Arabidopsis thaliana: one gene and its partners. The protein of the gene in region 3 interacts with the protein of the main gene of each other region in a pairwise test. Each region holds a gene or a part of one and is shown on either strand. Other genes may lie near its edges.

Region 1 (4,378 bases), on a different chromosome or scaffold from region 3:
TTCTGAAATTAATTCGCCTAAACAAATAATAAAAACGAAAATAAAAAAAACGAATATGCTGACGTGGCGGTTGAATGGAACAGTGTTTGGCTCCAGGGATTGGGGACGAGGGAAGACTGCGAATTTTCAGGCGTACGAGAGCGCCAAGTCGAAATCTTCCTTTTCATCAAATCTGACGTGGCGCATCAATAAATAACTCTCTCGTTTTTCTTCTTGTCACACAACTTATTTAGAAAAATCGAAGCTTGTTGGGCTACATATTGGGCCTACGATGTTTCTCGTGGAACATTTTGACAATTAATAAAAGAAACAACTTCGAGTTAGGCCCAATATGAACACTGTATGTTTCTCATGCAACAACATTTTGACATTACCAGACAATGGAGGAAGATGATCCTTTTTTCATTTCAAATAAGACTCAAAACTTATCATCCAATTATACGTTCATGATTTATATGAAAGATGAGAGATTGCATTTGCATACAAAAGGACCATATTTTTGTTAATCGCTCCATAATGTTAGCCTTAGGGTCTAGGGACGTCTATGCACATTTACAAACTCATAAGGAATTAAAGAATTACGTATATTTCACTTTCCAGGAACAACAACCTTCAAAACTCAACTTACATGACAACAAATTGAGATCCAAAAAGAAACAAACCTTAAAAAAACAAATATCACCATGTTGCTCTAAAGTCTAAACCAAGACCGATTTCCACTTGAAAATCATATTGCCGAACCAAAAAAAAAAAAAAAAAATTACAACACATATGGACTATAAAATCAGTGACCAATGATTATGGGGAAAACAAAAAAAGTACCTTTATGTACAAGAAAAAAAAAACAGAAGATCTTGAATCAAACACTAGTACTAGAACTTGGATGTGTCTCAAAAGAGGGAGGGCTGCGAGAAGATGGTGAGCCGATAGTGCCACGAATCCTGAATATTTCAAGAACAACAAAAGCAAGTAACGTGACTGACAGAACAAATCCATATCCAATTTTCCATCCATCTCCTCCATTATCCGCCATTCGAATTCCAAGAACAATGTTCACTGCTCCAAAAAAGAGAGAGATCCTCCCAATCCAATGATGATACCAATTCCAATATCTCCTCATCTTTGTCTCCTTCTGTGGCCGTGCAAAGAAAGCCAAAACCTGAAGAGTGCTAAGGACTAGAAGAAAGATCCCAATGCCTCGATGCGCAGGTATATCCGGCTGGATCCTATTGTAAAGCTGAATCCCAAGAATAACTGCGGCTAAACCGAAGATAAAGCCCGTGAACTGAAAACCGATATGAAGATAGTACCAAAGAGGGTCTTTATGTCTTAGATATCTTGCTAGGATTGCCCCTACAGGAAGTAAGAAACCCCATCCGAGTATCGCCATTACTCCATGTTTTGTCTTCTCCGTAGAAGTTGTCGTCTTTATGGAGGTTGCTCCACTAGCTGCATTGACCAAGAACATACAACTATTGAACTCTCCCCTGTTTTTAACATGTATAGATTAGACTAGTATATACATTATATTACCTTTGGAAAAATCGACGATGACTGTAGTTTTATCATCATGCTTAGTCAAACGGCCTAGCTTGGAAGGATAAGCAGTGCTAAACGCTAGAATGACAGCTCTCCGAGGAACTCTAACGGCGAATTTCACCTGGAAAGCTAAGTAAATCATTGCTCCGTGAAGAGCCACCACCGGCGGGACTTTTTGTAGTTGCAATTCTCCTTGATCCGGCACAACTTGGTCTCTCTCCGTTCCTTGGAGATAGTATTGTTTGATTTTGGCGTGACCCTTTTTCGAAATCCATCCGATCATCGCGCTTGATCCAACCATTCTTCCTTCTTTCGAGAATCCAATCCCAACCCACCCGGTTGTGTATAAAGCCGATACTATAATCGTCATCACATTGTCTCTGTTTTCTGAGTACTGCAAAACAGAGCAAGCAGCGTTGAAAATCAAAATTATGGGTTTTAGGAAAAGTTGGTTTATGTTTTTCGGTTTACCCGTAAGACGAACGTGTTCCAAAGAGGAGTACAGGGCATGTTATCGGAGATATTGCTGTACGGTGGAGGGAGGAAATCGGATAATCGGTTTGCAAAACAGAGATTCTGGGTCGAATCGTTTATGACATTGACGTCATCTGCAGCTAAGAAAGGCAGATCTTGTCCGATTAAGAAACAGAGGATGTAAAATCCGACCAAAGTTTTCATGGTTGGAATCGAAACAGAGACGAGAAGGAGCGAGGAACAATGGAAGCTTTTTGGGTGATGGTTACTTGAAGAAGAAGAAGAGTGATTGAGTTTGGTGGTGAAAGTGGTTGGAGATGGAGATCAATCATAATCATCAAATTGTTTTAAATCAGCTCCGGTTGGATTTTGAGAAAGATACTTGGAGTTGATGTTTCACTGGTTAAGTATCGGACAATTTATGTCCCCTCTGTCACTAAATCGACACGTGAACCGACAGAAAAATACCAAGATGCTATGAAATTATTGCTTTTTCTTTGCCAGTTAAAACAATTGGCAATTGCTATTTGAGGTTGAGAAATTACGAATAGATTTTTAAGATATGGACAATCTGGAGTTTTTTACTTTGCTTATTTAGGGAAAAAAAGAAGAAGAAGACAGAGATGGGAGCGAGAGAGTGGGGTCGTAAACTGGACCATAGTGGGAAGTGGATCAGTCTTAGTCTGAATCATTACTCATTAGGTATATTTGGTCAGGATAGTGCCACGATCAACATCATCTTTTCTTTTCTTGGAGGAGATATTGGAAGGGAACTTGGAAACAAAGTAAACAATAATAAATTAACCAATGAGTACAGCTTTACAGCTTCCATGAGTACCAATCACACAAACAAACAATTTCATTTGTTCGTTGTAAAACACAAACTCAAATGAGAAAAAAGGTATTGTGTTGCAATTGCAAAATGGTAATGTAAAACAATTTAAACAGTATTACTATTACGCATGGCGGGATCGGTATCAGTCAACGACTAAGCGTTTTATGTAATCGATATCATAATTCAAAATTATTCAACTTTAACATAATAAAAGGGATTAACATAATAAGTTAGCCAATATGGGGATGTAGCTCATATGGTAGAGCGCTCGCTTCGCATGCGAGAGGCACGGGGTTCGATTCCCCGCATCTCCAATTTTGTTGATTTTTTTAATTTTAGTTTGCTCTTCTTCTTCTGTTTGCTCTTCTTCTTCTGTTTGCTTGCTCCTTTTGTTCTCTCTTTCCGGTGGTTTAAAACAGAGAGGAGATCACGTCATATGTTTCTTCAGTCCATGAAATCTATTTATTTTTTGAAAAATAATTTGGTCAACCATATTCTACTGCGCCAACCATCGTCTTACAAAAACTTTTATTCAGAAACAATGATAACTCGAACACCGAATACAATGACAAATGGAAAAAAAAAAGAGACAAAAAAATGTAGAAGGAAACGTATCCTAAAGAAACAAAAAATGGAGTGTGAAGAGAGGGTCTCGTCTCTCTACTTGGACCAAGCAACTGCTTCAATATCCGTTTGAGCACTTCTATACAATTCCAGCCTCTTCGCAATCGAAGTCCTTCGCTGCTGAACCGCAGGATCCTCATCCAACAATTTCGACAATTTGCTCATCTATAATTTTTAACACCAAACCATTTTAACATTCTTACTCGTATCTTATACAATTGTCAATTTGCTCATATAGGTTTTTTAGTATATCTTTATTGTTACCTCTTTCTGGCCAAGTTCGGTGAAGAAGATGTCTAGAAGGCTTCGTTTTGCTTCACGGACTTGACAGTAAACAATGGATTTCGGTATGGAGTTTCTCAAGCCAGCGCAGACCATGTTCACATATGACAACACATTTGAGCCGATTCTTCGGAGATAAGCATCGTTGTATCTGTCGAATATCGAATGTGTCGGATTCCCACCTTTTTCAGAATCTTGCGGGAGTTTCCTGAAGAACTCGACCGTTAAGTAACCAGACTCCATGTCCACTAGTAACAGAGTTGCTTTCCTGCTTTCGTCTCTCATTCGATCCAATGAATCCACGGCTGCACCTGATACTTCTACTCTGAGTGTTGGATATTGCTTCAGTTCCTGTAGTCATGATGAAAACACATAATCATGCTTCAAAACTCATAAGTGTTATTGTTGTTGTTGGGTTTATGACTTTGAGCAGAGATATTCTTACAGATGTTTCGCCCATGGATTTGTGGATAAGATCCTTGAGAATGGAATGAACCGCATCAACAGCTGCTTCAGCAGGGCCTCTAATGGAGACTAAGCATGATTCTATGAGCCGGCGATAACCTTGTTCAGGAGCTATGAGATGAGGTTGATATCCATCTGCTTCAGTGATCAGTTTCCGTA
Region 2 (7,104 bases), on a different chromosome or scaffold from region 3:
TGAATTGAGTGTCGAAGAGCATTTGAATAACAAGGAGAAGTAAACAGAGAAAGAAAGGGATTGTGATGAGTCGTATGTTGCTCCATATGTTCCGTTTCTGCATCAAAGAACAAAAGGAAACAAAACCTCATTGTAAACTTTTTACTCTGTCTTAGCCGTTTTAGATATTAAAAGTGTATTGAAACCTGGAAAACTAAATTCTTCCTCAGTAAAGCGTCGGCTTGAGTCAAGAAACTTGCAGGACTAGAATCCGCCATCGCAGAGAATATGAGAAGGTTTGATGGAGTTGAATAGTTTTTAAGAAGTCTCTAAATGTTGTTTTTTAGATGTGCACACTAAAAATAACAAGAATTAAGAGATAACAGTTTAACTATACACGTTACTGAAGTGGCATACAGGTATTGGACAATAGCACTGTGATTTTTTGTATGATATTTCGTGTAGGTCAAGTAATAGTATTCATTTGCATCACTCACCTAAGAAATGAACTCTCTACCAAAACCTACACAAATATGAATATAATAAGATAGATATGGTTTTTTATTTTCATTATTACGACAATGTCGAAAATATGGGTTTATTGCTACCAACCAACTTTAATAGCCGATACATGAACTCCGAAACAGAGTAGAACAAATGGTTATGACATTGAAAAACATCTCCTAGTGTTGAAGTGTCGCCTCTTTGCTTCAGGAGCGCTAGTAATTGTTTCAAGTATAATCTCATTGAAAAATCAGGAACTTGTAACATATTTCCAGTAATATACATGAAATCTTATAAACACTAATTTCGTATCATGTGGTAGCAATTTGACATAATAAGCAAATATTGACATTGGACAAAATATGGACGTATGAATCTAAGAAGATCAAGAGAAGACATTAAAGGCCTGACCGTTTCTCACAACCTTGATGAAGACATCTTCAAGAGTTGTGTCGGCGAGTCCCCAAGCGAAAACGGTAAAGTTGCTCTTCGCCTTCTCCACAGCCTGGAACACCTCTGAGATCCGAACCTCTTCTTTTGGAAGCTCAAACTTCTGAGTCCCTGCGATGTGATATATCTTCTTGGCGTTTGGGGAGACATCTTTAATTAGCTTCTCCACGTTTTGCTCGTGTTCTGAAGATGTTGTCATCGTAAACACATAAGATCCACCGTACCTTCCCTTCAGCTCTTTTGGGTTGCCAATGCATTGCAAGCCTCCGTCCACAAAAATACCCAATCGGTCACATAGAAATTCTGCTTCTTCCATTGAGTGGGTTGTGAGGATTATCGCGGTGTTTTGTTTTGCACGCTTGATGACAGTCCATAGGTTCTTTCTCGAAGCTGGATCAAGTCCTGTACTTGGCTCATCCATATAAACCACCTTCAAAGGAAATGAGGACGAGTCTGGTAAGCTTGAAAGAGCTTATCCCTTTTGGTTTACTATTTTTAAAGGCTTAGTGTTGTACCTTAGGATTCCCGATAAGTGAAATGGCTACGCTCAGCCGTCTTTTCATACCTCCGCTATATTTCCCAGCAGGCTTGTCCGCAACTCCTCCATGGAAAAGGTTGACACTCTTAAGAGACTCTTCCACAGCCTGATGCAGATAAGTAACGATGAGAAATAGATTGAGCAATGGAAGTAATATAGAAGGTGAGCGAGATTGATAACATACTTGGTTGAGATCAGCGCCTTTGAGATTCTTAAGTCTCCCATAAAACAGCAGATGTTCCCTTCCTGTCAGTGTTTCCCATAGCAAACTGGTATACGACAGACAATAAGAGAATGATTAAACAACTATATCATCTATAGTGAAGAACAAAATGAAATGAATTTCAAGAATTTAATTACTCATGCTGCGGGCATACGCCCATGCTGGTGTACACTCTGTCCATATCATTGCATATATCCAAACCTTGAACAAGTGCTGTCCCAGATGTCGGTTTCAGGAGCCCAGTCATCTGACAAAGAAAACAAAGGACATATTACTAAGGCTGACGCACAATTCGTTTGGGCATACACTAGATAGAGTTTCTCGATCAGCAATGATATTGGAAGCTAAGGTCTAATGTGCACAAAATATTTTGTCCATTTGACTGACCATATTGATGAAGGAAGTCTTTCCAGCACCATTGGGACCTAACATGCCGAAGCATTCTCCTGAAGGCACTGCAAGAGATAACCCACGAACTGCCAATTTAGGCGGGTTCCCATCTCTACCAGGATACACCTTCTTCAGGTTGTCACATACAATCGCATGGCTTGTGCTCGACTCAAGCATCAACCGCTCGACTTTTTTACTCTGATTGGAACATTTTTTGTTATCAGAACCAGTATATATTATGAAAAACATGAAATATATTGTAAAGTCTTTGGACATACCTCGTGAGTAACATCTGGTTTTTCCATATCAACTGAGACTTTGGAGCCTTGCCTCTGCAAACTAGGTCTTCTCAAAGAAGGAGATTTCTTGAAAGGGTTTTGCAAGAAGAACAACGGGTTTCTTCCGGATGAAGATATCTTATCGATATAGTATGCTGCAATGAGTGCAAGAAACCATTCAACGACAATGATGTAAAAAACATCATCCATTGCACTATCACCAAAATCTTTCCACTTCATCCCATCTTCCCCTCTCAAGTTTCCCCGGAAAGCAAATTGCGCCAACTCATACAGGCCACGGTATAAGGAGAAGCCAGGATATAACTCCATGACAATAATCCAGCCTCCTGGAAAATTATAATTCATTTGCAATCGTGGTCAGTTGTGAAAACACATAACAGAGTGTATTAAATATCTTTCTTGAAGTTAATTAATCATAATAACTTACTAGGGAATGATGAATCTTCAATCAGAAAGTTGAGTAGAAACAAACCCAAAAGTCCAGATCCAAACACGTATATGTAAGAAGCAACTATGATTAAGACATATAGAGAAAAGCTCATTAGTTCCTTTAAACCCCAGTAGCATGTTCTTGATTAAATTCAAGAAGCACGATGTTCTTAGTACCTGTTGATGTCTTGACTTTTGAAAATACTGAAGAAACTAGAAAGGCAAGGGCGATTTGCAGATTTAAATAGAGAAAATAGAATACGAACTGGATGCTGTAGGAATTAAGCCGAAAGAACTTCAGTCCTGCAGGGAACCAACAACATTAAAGACTCATATTGACAAAAAAACATAATGTATTGTAAGAAATGTATTAACCGAAAGGCTTCAATTACCTATTGCTGACCCGAATATCATCAGGCATATAACGTATAACACGGATATGGTAAGGAAATAGGCGTAGGAAATCATCCAATAAGGACCATCTCCTAGGCCATGCATTTTCATTATAATTCTTAGATGTTGCTGTTTCTCATACACTAATGACGACAAGATCACCTGCATACAAATGGCTCTAGATATGAATTTCGTATCTTACGCTTGGAGAAAGCAGAATTCTTGTTGTTTCCAAGATTTATCCATGAGGGTGAGTATTATTGAAGGCAAACTTACAGGGAACAGAAGAAGAATAACCCAGGTGAAGAAAAGGGGGCCAATTAGAGACGCAATGTCCAGACGAAGACTTGTTTCTGGTTTAGGCATTTCTTTGACATATTCAAACAACATCCTTGTCCCCGGTCCTTGTAGAAATTGAAGGTAAGCATTTGACACCTGCAGTTTGGTAAAGTGTAAGCATCGGTTCAATAAAGAAAGTGGTGCTACATGGTAAAGAGCAAAGTGAGAATACAATGATGAAGGATGTCTTGAGTAAATTGTTGTTTTCTTACCAAATTGACTGAGCGGGGAACACGGATCAACTTTATAAGTCTATTTCCTGCATCGTCCTTGTACGTTGAATTATACCAGATGTGCACATTAAAATTGTTCCTATCAGTGTTCAAGAGATCATATGCTAAACCAACAACAAAATCAGACATGAAGAGTCAGAAATCTCATGAGCTTATTAAAGATTATTATAGATAACCCAACTGAGAAGTTGACGAACCTGCAGCGATCTCATTTATCTTTCCCTCGGGGTTTCCTTTCTTATAACCCTTGAAAATCTTATCATTGACCTCTTTGGAGGTATTTGTCCAAAGATTTGATCCTTGAACACATCTCAACTCTGGTTTTGTCACAAACATTAAGTTAATCAACTACAACGATGTTTCCATGAAAGATAACTATGAGTGAGGACAATATATTGCAGAAAGATATATCATGTTCAACAAGATCGGGATACGAAAACAGAGAAAGCAACCAGATTTCATTAAGCTAACACTGATATAAGCATATATAACATCTAGTATCCCTCTTAAACTTTTTTAGTTGACATCTTAAACATCAATGGGATTAAAAACTCAATACCTTTCTCAAACTTGAGAGGTGGTTGTTCGAATGAGAACGGAAACGTAGCATTTAGAATGCACCGAGGTTGGATATTGTAGATGGAAAGATTTGAGGCAATCCCTGGATCAAGATAATTGGTGAAATCTGCCTCAACTGTTGTACCCTGAAACATGAGGTCAAGAAAGCTAAGAAACACATTTCATAATGGAAACAAACAGAAACCAACCAAAAAAACTTACCAAAACATTGTTGGCTAAAGTACGCAAAATCTCAGAGGCGTTCGCCGACACAGAACTAGTGAACAGATTCTCAGATACAGCTAAAGAAAACATGAAGATAAGTTCCAGTGTAGGTACACAAGAACAGAAACATAAAAAAGAAGGAAAAGAGACATACTTGTTCCAAGGGAACGGTTATTTCCAGTAAAGAGTATAGTAACAGGACAAGATCCTGTTCTTCTGCAAGAATCATCACGAAGACCTCTAACATCGCGACTCTCAGGACGCGGGATTTGTAACAAAGGAGGCCATAGTGGAGGACGAGGGATAGAACAAAAGAAGGCTTGATCCGGTTTAGAATGTTCTAAACCGCAAAGCTCTCTTTGGCATTTTCCAGCTCTATTTCTTTCGATGCATTCACAACCACAACGATTATCAGCAGAGTTGTTAACTTGTGTATCGAACAGGATTTGTATAATCACTAGAAGTATACAGAGGTAGAATGGGATCATGATTAGCCGTATATTGCTCCATAGATTCCGTTTCTACACCAACACACAATTTACACAAAGACATAATTAGAACAGAATCTACTCAATAAATCAGCCACTAATTTTGTTGTGGAAACTGATCTATTAAACGAAAATCCCAGAACAGAATCTTACTCACATTAAACGAAAATTTGTATGTGTATAATTGGATTGCGTAGAGGAAAAGAAAACGGAAAAAGTACCTGATAGGTTAAGTTTTTCCTAAGCAAGGCATTGGCTCTCGTTGAGAAACTGGCAGGACCAGGATCCGCCATTGATGAAGGTAACAACCTTCGCTTTTCTCTGTGTATTAGATTCTGTTTTTTAGGGTTAGTAAAAATTGAATCCTAATGGAAACCCAATTTTTGAACTTAGAAGGAACAAATCGAGTCACCGCCTTTTGGTTTATAGCAGGCGGAGGAAAGAAGAACAGAGATCAGATACGGAATGTGAAATTACAGTAATACCCTTGTGCACACGCTTTAATTTCTCGTTAAGTATACCTTTAATTAGTTATTTTTCTCGAATATATTAGTATTGTTTTTTTGGGGTTATTCTTTTGGTCAAATAACAAAAAGGTAATTTTACGAAATCGAGAAAGTGACAATGGAGAATATTTTCAATGTAAATTTGGTAGGAAGCTGCGAAGGAGAGTGATGCCACGACCAATAGATTCTTCGACTAGTGGAAGAGGTGAGTTTCAATTATTTGTTTACTGTATATTTGTATTTGTATAAAGATGATTCATACGTCATCTCAGACGTAATCACGTGTGAACATAATCGATTAAACTAGTCTATTTTAATGTCTCACGTAAAAGTGTCGGGTAATTTGGTTGACTATGATAATTTTTTGACCATTTTAAAAAGATTTGTTCAAATCTAAACATTTTTTTCCAATGTGGCAGTTACTTGGACAAGAAGCAAAAATGTTATGATGTCCTAAGAAAAATTCTTATTTCAGTTTATATTTTTACTAGCAGTCTTATTTCAGTTTTCAAACATAAAAAGTCTTTGCACACAATAAAAAACACAAAAGTCTTTGATTTAATAAGTAGCAGTTTTAAATACTTTATACTCTATGGTCCATTACAGGGAAAATAAATTTACTTTGGTTTGATTTCAGTTTGAATGTGTTCATGATAATGTCATCTTTAAATTTATTTTTTGAAAAATTCCTGGTCTAAAGTTAATTAGGAATCCTCCATAAATTTTTAGTGAAATTTGTGATTTTCATAGACATCAAGACAATTTCTTATTTCGGAGAAGAACCAATTGATATAATTAAGATTTAATTGGTAAAAAATTTGGTTTAACAGTTTTGATTTATACTCCCTCTGTTCCTTTTTTTATATTGTTTAGAAAAACACATATATTAAGAAAACATATTAAATTTTGATTATAAATGTATTATTTTTAGTGTTTTACAATTTTTTATAACTCTAAACCAATGATAACTAACTATTTTTCTTGAAAATTACAATTCACCAATATTAACCAATAAATATTGCATGGAAAACTTAAAAAATTAATTTCTTAAAAACAAATTTTTTTTCTAAACAATCAAACAAAAAGGAACAACAGAGTATTTTGTAGTCTTTTTTAAAAATTGTCTTTCTTTTTAGAAATGTTGTCTCCGGCAGCTAACATAGTTTTCAGTGATATTTTCTTTTTTCGATGGCATATGAAATTTTACCAATGTTTAAGTAAAATTCAATGAAAAAAAGACCTAATTACTATCTTTTAATATAGATACTATTTTCGAAATTCTAAATTTTAAATCGTAAACCCTATATGAATTAAATGGTAAGATATACATTTAGGATCTGAATGGTAGATGAAATAAAATTTCATATTCAGTGGTTTATCCACAATTAAATATAGCCACGTTTAAATAAAAAAATTGTGGTTACATGCATCATCCACAAACAAACTAATACAAGACCTCAGACTAATTCGCAAACTTGCAGGCGAAGAGCCAACAATGTACATGAATCAAACCTCTGCATTATCAATTTATCAAACATGAACAAGCAAAA
Region 3 (4,643 bases):
ATTGACCACATGGTTTGGTTTGTTTTATTACTTCGTCGTACATAAGCTGCCGGAAATACCTAACTCTTCATATGGTTGTCTCTTTGACACCTACCGGATTTTACTTCATTTATGCAAAGTATTGTAATAATAAAAAGAAAAAGAGGATATTCCCGGTATTTTAATTAACAGAACAACATTCATATAAATAAAACCATTCCTTTTGATTTTAATTAGGCCTAGGCGACAAAATATATAATTAAGGCTAAATAGATTGCAAACACATGGCAGTTATATCCAAAAGTAAAGATTACAAAAGATGTCGAGAAGATAAAGTCATTTTCTTCTTCAACCATATTTAACAAAATCTTAAGTTATGAATTAGTAATAAACTATTTTCCCAAGAAACTTAAACACACGTATATGGAGTTTGCGTATATGATTGCGATTCCTTGGGGGTGTTTCAGGAGTGACCTCTTTGGTTAATGTTTTCCCAAAAAGCCTAAGCCAACCCAAATCTTGAAAGACCAGAAAGCTACAACTATGGCCATTTTATCAGCTTTAATTTTAGATAACAAAACTGAATTTTGTAAGAGAAAAAATAAAGGTATGGCTATGGGACGCCGAGATGTTAATTACTATCTACATAATAACAACATATTTTTTTTTTTGAATTTAGTGTTAAATTATATTCAAAGAAAAATAAACTGTTTATATACAGAAATGCAAACTTTTCTTAAAAATAGATCAAAAGTATATCTTATTTATCTTTGATTTTGTTCTTGCCTAAAAGTAAACCACACTTGGATTCCTCTTGCGTACTTCTCTTCACATCTTACCCTCAACGTGCTTAATCCATTCCTTATGTTTTTGTCTATCAGCCTGATTATCTTCTTCGTCCTCGATGGCGTCTGTCCATATCTCCTCTCATTTCTTTCTCTCCATATAGAATGTATCGTGTTTTGAAACACATACCGAAGTACAAACCTTGTAGTGGCGTCAAGATCTTTACTCACTAACTCCTTCATAATAACAGCATAATAACATGTATTACATGAATGCATGTCACAAACGTTTATAATTCCCTTTTTTTTTGCCAACAAAACGTTTATAATTCCTTGTATGAAGATATTTTCGTCTAATTTTTAACATCCTTTTTTAGTTGATTTCCAAATAAATTATAAATTTGTTCTAAAGTTTAGTCATCTGCCTAATTAATTAACTTGAAGTTCTATATTGCTAGAGGCATTTAAAGGTCAAGTCCTTTTCAAGTGGTAACTCATTGAAAATGACACTAATGTTTTTTGCAACATTTCACAAGAAAAAAATAGAAATTTTCATGATTTTGGCTTTTGTGGTCTACTCTTTTAAAAAAAGGAATCCTTGAAATGTTTGCATGCTTGTTTTTAGTATCATTATTTTTGTTGTCATCCACTTGATGGAAAGAGCTTTGACACTTCTTTACCACAATCACTTCATAACTCATAACTACATTAAATTCTGTTGTTATCCTAACTTCTTCTGTTAAAAAAATTACTTAGAATTACACATAAGAACTCAAAAATGCAAATTTTCTAAAATTACTCGTCTATTTCAAGTAAAGTAAACCCCTCACCAATCTTAATTTCACACAGAATTTAATGTTGATTGAAGCATAGTAAAAGTCTAAATGAGTCCTTATTTTTTATTTTTACATCAAGAGTACTATTTTGTTTGCATCACATATCTTATATCTTTCTTATAAATACAAACGATCCGGTGGGTACAAGGCATCAATCATGTAAAAGAGGTACAAGCCGGTAGTGAATTTTGAGTCGGTCGGTCTTAAAATCGCCTAAATTTACTCTTCTCGTATTCAAAAGATTTTCCATATCTCAAAAAGTAGTGTAAAACTGAATCACTTTTCTTGTTAAAAAAAAATACAATAAAAACAAACGTAAGAGAAAGGGAAATGAAATAATAATAATCAAAAAAGAAGAATTTATTGATAACCTAACTAACAACTAAAAGATGAAAACACGACACCAACTTCTACCTGCATACTAAAGTTTCGTCTTTAAATGTTGCAGCTGTCTCCTTACATTTCACATCTTCCTTGTTTCTTCTCTCTCTCTCTCTCCCCTCAAACTTAAATTCACATTTTAATACTTGTTACTTCAACTATAATAATAATAATAATCTTTCTTCATTATATATTTTCCTCTCCTCTCAGATCTTCTCTCTCACCATCTTCTCTTGAGATCAAGATTGAGTATTCTTGTCTCAAGAATCGATACTCGAGAGCTCTTATGGACCAAAATGGTCATAACGACGAAGCAGAAACAGTTTCATGCGGCAACGGCAACTGCAAAAGCAAGATCGTGCCTGGAGATGATCACGGTGGAGATGAGAGTAGTGGTACCAAGAGAAGGAAGAAGAGAAAAACGCAACAAAAGACAATGAAACGACGTGAATTAATGTCGTATTGTGAGCTACCGGAGTACATGAAAGACAACGAATACATATTGAATTATTACAGAGCTGATTGGTCCATTAGAGATGCTTTCTTCAGCGTATTTAGTTTCCACAATGAGTCCCTCAATGTTTGGACGTAAGTACACCAAATTTTACTTCTAGTTTCAATTATTTTTTCTTCGATTTTTTTTTCTAATAGTTTTTTTTTTTTGGACAGACATTTGATTGGTTTTATCTTCTTTGTGGCACTAACCGTCGCCAATATTATTCATCACGACGGATTCTTCCCCGTGGTAAGTGTCCTTTAATCAACACGTTTATTTTTGTTTTTGTTTAATAATCGCAAGTTTAGCCCGAATTTCAATTTATTCCCTCGAGATCCACATGCAACCACTATATTAACTTCAAATTAGTCAAGTGAATGTGTCAAGTAATTAGATATATACCTAATTGGTTTTGATTAACTTATCTTAATTTTCTAATGAATTGTTCGTTGCTATACCTGGATTTTGTTATGATGATTTTGAATAAGATATCAAAGATATATAGACATGAATCGAAATGATGAATAAAATCTTTGACAATATTACATTGACTATAATTTGTTTTCTGTAGTATATTCTAAACAACTCAATAAAATGTAATTCTTTTAAGGATTATATATCAGCTCAAATCTATTATTTAATCACATATCTAAACAACTGAAGAAAATGTATTTCTTAACTAGATTAGAAATCAACTCAAATATGTTATTTGATCATATATCTAGTATATGTTTTTTTAGTATCTCAAACTAGTCAATAAAAATGTAAAGCTAATGGTGGTATCAATGTTGATGATTGTAGGATGCAAAGAGTCCAGGGAATGTAACAAGATGGCCCTTCTTCGTTTTCTTAGGAGGCTCAATGTTCTGCCTACTCGCAAGCAGCATTTGTCACCTCTTCTGTTGCCACTCAAAAGAGCTTAATGTCTTCCTTCTCCGAATAGACTATGCCGGTATCACCGCCATGATCATCACTTCCTTCTTCCCACCAATCTTCTACATCTTCCAGTGCACTCCTCGGTGGTACTTCATCTACCTCGCAGGCATCACATCCATGGGAATCTTCACAATCATCACACTTTTCACCCCATCACTTTCCGCTCCCAAGTACCGAGCTTTCCGCGCTTTGCTCTTTGCCTCCATGGGGCTGTTTGGGATTGTCCCAGCTGCCCACGCGCTAGTGGTCAATTGGGGAAACCCGCAAAGGAACGTGACGCTCGTGTACGAGTTGCTTATGGCAGTGTTCTATCTTGTTGGAACAGGATTCTACGTAGGGAGAGTGCCAGAAAGGCTTAAACCGGGATGGTTTGATCGTGTGGGACATAGTCATCAGATCTTCCATGTGTTCGTTTTGTTGGGTGCTTTGTCTCACTATGCAGCTGCTCTCTTGTTCTTGGACTGGCGTGACCACGTTGGTTGTTAAACCATATATTTGTAATTCTTTTAAATATAATATTATTAATTTGTTGTATCGTGGTGAACAAAATTGTAATAACCCATTTGTTTTAAATTGAATTGTAATTCAACTTGTGTTAATTGTTATGTTTGTTGAATATGCATGATTTTCAGAAGTCTTTTTCTCTATGAGAAGTTAATGGTAAATCAAATATTTGCCACTGAATAGTTTCGTTTTTGAATATGATGACTTCAATTGTTTGTTTGCTTTATATCATGAAAGCAAACAGAATTGAAAAGACATAAAAAAAAATTGATGTAAACACAAAAGCAAAAATTGACGGTTGAAACAACCAATGATTTGTTTTATAAAAAAAAAAAAAAACCAATGATGCAAAGGATGGACTTCATGCATGGTTGATGGTTCTTTCATCTATCTACATGCGCACTTAGCTTAGTGTCAGGATTCCCTAACCACAAGAGAATTAATATGTATATATGCACCATCAAATGTTCATCAAAGTCTCCGCTTCCTTTTTCATTCTTCATAGCCGAGTCCTCTTATTATTGCTTCAAAGTTTTTTTGTTCTTTTTGATTTGATATAAATATATGTGTTACTAGGTTATACAGGTGTTAATTAGATGCAAGACAAGGATTGATCAGACATAAACATAATTAAAGACCAAGCTTCACTCTGTAACTAGACTCTTGATCGATAATGCGTGAACGGACCCAAACTCTTTTCGAATTTCGGAAGCCAAATGTCTTGGT
Region 4 (3,121 bases), on a different chromosome or scaffold from region 3:
CGGTGTTCGGAGTTCTATCTATGGCGGCAGCTCTGTTCATCGCTGTGCCAGCGATCGTTGTGATCTGGATATCGGTAGTGGTGACAATAGCGTTCCCCGTAAAGTCGAGGAAGAAAGTGGTGATTGAAGGAAGGAAAGTGACGAAAGAAATTGCTGGTTATGTGTTTAAGGTTCTTCTTAAAGAAGGAAACTTTGTGGCTCTTCTTTGTGCTGTTATTGCTTACTTTGTCTTCTTTAACTCTTATTACTCTTCATCTTCTTGATTCAGTTTTTGCATTTTGTCATTAACGAAAACATTCATAACTAATATATTGACATCTTATCTTATGGTATATGTTGTAAAATAGTACAACACCCCATGCAAGTTTTGGGTGTTGAGTTCGATTCCCTTCTTTGCATGTTTGCGTCTTCTTTTTTTTAAACTTAACATTGATACCAAAAAAAAAGTGTGTATATATTGAAATCTTTCTTCATTATTTGTCCTTTAGTTTAACAAGATTTGATTTCTTGAATCTGAAAATATCGATCTTCTTTGTTGGATTGATGTGTTCTCTGATGATGTCAAAACGAATGCTTCCACGTCACAATACCGACACGTGAAGTTATTGACATTTCTTTTGTTTATTTCTTTGAGAGAGAACACAGATTCTTCTTTTGGTCGTCTCTCTGTTTGTCGGTCATTCTCTGTCTCTTCCGTGGAAGAGCTTCTGAAACCTCAACTATAATATGGGTTTGAAGGCCCATTTGGGCTTTACTGATTACCATCAATGGCTCATTTTCTGTTTTAGTGAAAACGTTAAATACAGTATCTAACTTATAACTTTCTATCAGCTGAATACTTGATATAAATATATTTAAACTATGTGAGATGCCAAATACTAGAGTACGATGATGATAGCCTAGTAATTGTGAAACAGATATATTGTGAATGTGACGACGAAGAAGAAGAAAAATTGTGTAAGGAGTAAGTGCATGTGATTAGGTATGGTCCAAGCTGAAGTTGGGTAAGTAAAAAAGCTTCATAGGTGATGAGTTGCACCAATTCTTCAGAATACAACATTAATAACAAGTGTAAGAAGGTACTCAATCTAAGTCAATGCATAGTTTTCAAAGTAATAATGATGCATATTTGACAAAAAGATACTCCAATGCTCTTGATCCACAATGAGTAATTGAGTATAATTCTCAAACATCTTTAAGTATTGTTACTTTGAATTGGTTTGCTTTGTCTTCAGATATTATTGAATGACATTGGTTGGTAGTTCAAAAGAATAATTGGTCTGCTTGAATGTTTCCCCTTTAGATATACTATATAATAATAAAATTATAATGGTCCAAAATTAGCAGTTATAGCTTATAGGCAGCTTTTATCTCTCTTTTTTCTTTCCTTAACACTAGTAAATTGGATCGCAAGATCTTAGATTGCTAATAACCAACTTTACACTTTGCATTATACAAAATTAACTATTTCCAAAATACCCAAAAAAACTTGATACATTGTTCCTTACATAATAAATTGACTTTTTGGGTGTTAACTTTTAAGAAAAACAGTGTAAGTATTACACAAATTAATCACTAATCACTTTGGTTTATGAAACGGTTAGTTTGGGAGGTGAGCCAAAAGTGAAACTAGAAAAAATGGAAACAGAGCTCTCCAACTGTCAGTTTGCAGGAAAAGGCAAAGACTTTAACTGGACCGCTAATAAAAGAGGCACGTGACAAACACAGCCTAATCAGCAAGAGCGTGTACTTCACGTTACATCAGATTCGACTAGGCTTAAGTATAAACTAAAAAGAACGTACGATCACTTTCCTTTTCTCACAATTCTTCACCGCAAACACTCACCCCAAAAAAGGAATCAGAAGAAGAAAGAAGCTTGTACAAAAGAAGGCTCTTTTACTATATACCATAACTTCACCAAACCAGACACAGAATCATAAGATCAGATCTGGTGTTCTCAAATATGGCGGATAAGGAAGAACCAGAGACGATGACCTCGTACAAGTTGTTTTTGAGAGTTATAAGCAAGAGAAGAACATGGGCCTGTCTGTTTCTTGTAGTCTACGCGATCCTATTGTCTTCTTCATGGAATTCGTTGAATTCAATAGTTAATTGGTACGGAGAGAATCATCAGACATCATCTGGTTTGCCTGCGATTTACGCGTCGGTGCTTCTTGGTGCGGTGTTCGGAGTTTTATCTATGGCGGCGGCGCTGTTCATAGCCGTGCCTGCGATCGTGGTGATCTGGATATCAGTGGTGGTGACGATGGCGTTCGCCGGAAAATCTAGGAAGAGAGTGGTGATTGAAGGAAGGAAAGTGACGAAAGAGATCGCTGGTTTTGTGTTTAGGGTTCTTCTTAAAGAAGGAAACTTTGTGGCTCTTCTTTGTGCTCTTCTTGCTTACTTCGTCTTCTTTAACTCTTACTCTTCATCTTCTTGATTCGTTTTTTTGAATTCTTGTCATTAACGAAAACATTCACAGCTAGTATATTGAAATCTTTCCTCATTATTATTTGTACTTTAGTTTAACAAGATTTGATTTCTTGAATCTGAAAATATCGATCTTCTTTGTTGGATTGATGTGTTTTCTGATGATGTCAGAGAGAATGCTTCCACGTCACAATACCGACACGTGAAGTAATTTACATTACTTTTGTTTATTTATTTGAGAGAACACAGATTCTTCTTTTGGTCTCTTTGTTTGTCGGTCATTCTCTGTCTCTGTCCATGGAAGAGCTTCTGAAACCTGAACTATAATATGGGTTAGAAGGCCCATTGGGGCTTACGGGTTACCATTAATGGCCCATTTTATCGTATATAGTGGAGAACTGTTTTAGTGACAACGTATTAAATACAGTATCTACTAGGCCAGACGATAAATTGTGTTTGAAGGAGGAAGTGCATGTGATTAGGTATGGTCCAAGCTGAAGTTGGTTAGTAAAAAGCTTAAAAGATGATAAGTTGCACCAATTTTTCATAATGTAGCAATAATAACAAGTGTAAGAAGATGCTCAATCCAAGTCAATGCATAGTTCATACGATAATTCTTTTTTTGATAAAAGTTCATACGATAATTCAAAGATATAATTATGAATATTTGACAAAATATGTACATACATT

Evidence for each region.
Region 1: the proteins of HHP1 (region 3) and AT3G61750 interact in a protein complementation assay, tested with the Arabidopsis thaliana proteins (one large-scale study listed by BioGRID).
Region 2: the proteins of HHP1 (region 3) and ABCA7 interact in a protein complementation assay, tested with the Arabidopsis thaliana proteins (one large-scale study listed by BioGRID).
Region 4: the proteins of HHP1 (region 3) and AT4G28330 interact in a protein complementation assay, tested with the Arabidopsis thaliana proteins (one large-scale study listed by BioGRID).

The regions. Positions count from the first base shown.
Region 1 is NC_003074.8:22,857,038-22,861,415, forward strand, and holds AT3G61750 (Cytochrome b561/ferric reductase transmembrane with DOMON related domain-containing protein), read right to left. Parts: upstream 2,633-4,378; 5' UTR 2,218-2,632; coding exon 2,011-2,217; exon of another isoform or gene 1,934-2,010; coding exon 1,534-1,933; intron 1,450-1,533; coding exon 860-1,449; 3' UTR 540-859; downstream 1-539. Other genes in the region: DL1B (DYNAMIN-like 1B), read right to left, coding at 3,509-3,637, 3,737-4,105, 4,200-4,378. UniProt on the Arabidopsis thaliana protein: May act as a catecholamine-responsive trans-membrane electron transporter.
Region 2 is NC_003074.8:17,622,737-17,629,840, reverse strand, and holds ABCA7 (ABC2 homolog 6), read right to left. Parts: upstream 5,502-7,104; 5' UTR 5,342-5,501; coding exon 5,270-5,341; intron 5,082-5,269; coding exon 4,715-5,081; intron 4,638-4,714; coding exon 4,558-4,637; intron 4,482-4,557; coding exon 4,337-4,481; intron 4,095-4,336; coding exon 3,975-4,094; intron 3,882-3,974; coding exon 3,757-3,881; intron 3,641-3,756; coding exon 3,482-3,640; intron 3,368-3,481; coding exon 3,205-3,367; intron 3,116-3,204; coding exon 2,990-3,115; intron 2,895-2,989; coding exon 2,811-2,894; intron 2,710-2,810; coding exon 2,363-2,709; intron 2,283-2,362; coding exon 2,082-2,282; intron 1,942-2,081; coding exon 1,832-1,941; intron 1,741-1,831; coding exon 1,656-1,740; intron 1,578-1,655; coding exon 1,449-1,577; intron 1,364-1,448; coding exon 869-1,363; 3' UTR 556-868; downstream 1-555. Other genes in the region: ABCA8 (ABC2 homolog 7), read right to left, coding at 1-97, 186-257.
Region 3 is NC_003076.8:6,840,281-6,844,923, reverse strand, and holds HHP1 (heptahelical transmembrane protein1), read left to right. Parts: upstream 1-1,977; 5' UTR 1,978-2,267; coding exon 2,268-2,569; intron 2,570-2,650; coding exon 2,651-2,726; intron 2,727-3,278; coding exon 3,279-3,899; 3' UTR 3,900-4,091; downstream 4,092-4,643. UniProt on the Arabidopsis thaliana protein: May act as a negative regulator of abscisic acid (ABA)-mediated osmotic stress signaling and function in cross-talk between cold and osmotic signaling.
Region 4 is NC_003075.7:14,021,772-14,024,892, reverse strand, and holds AT4G28330 (pyrroline-5-carboxylate reductase), read left to right. Parts: upstream 1-1,587; 5' UTR 1,588-1,964; coding exon 1,965-2,441; 3' UTR 2,442-2,613; downstream 2,614-3,121. Other genes in the region: AT4G28340 (pyrroline-5-carboxylate reductase), read left to right, coding at 1-263.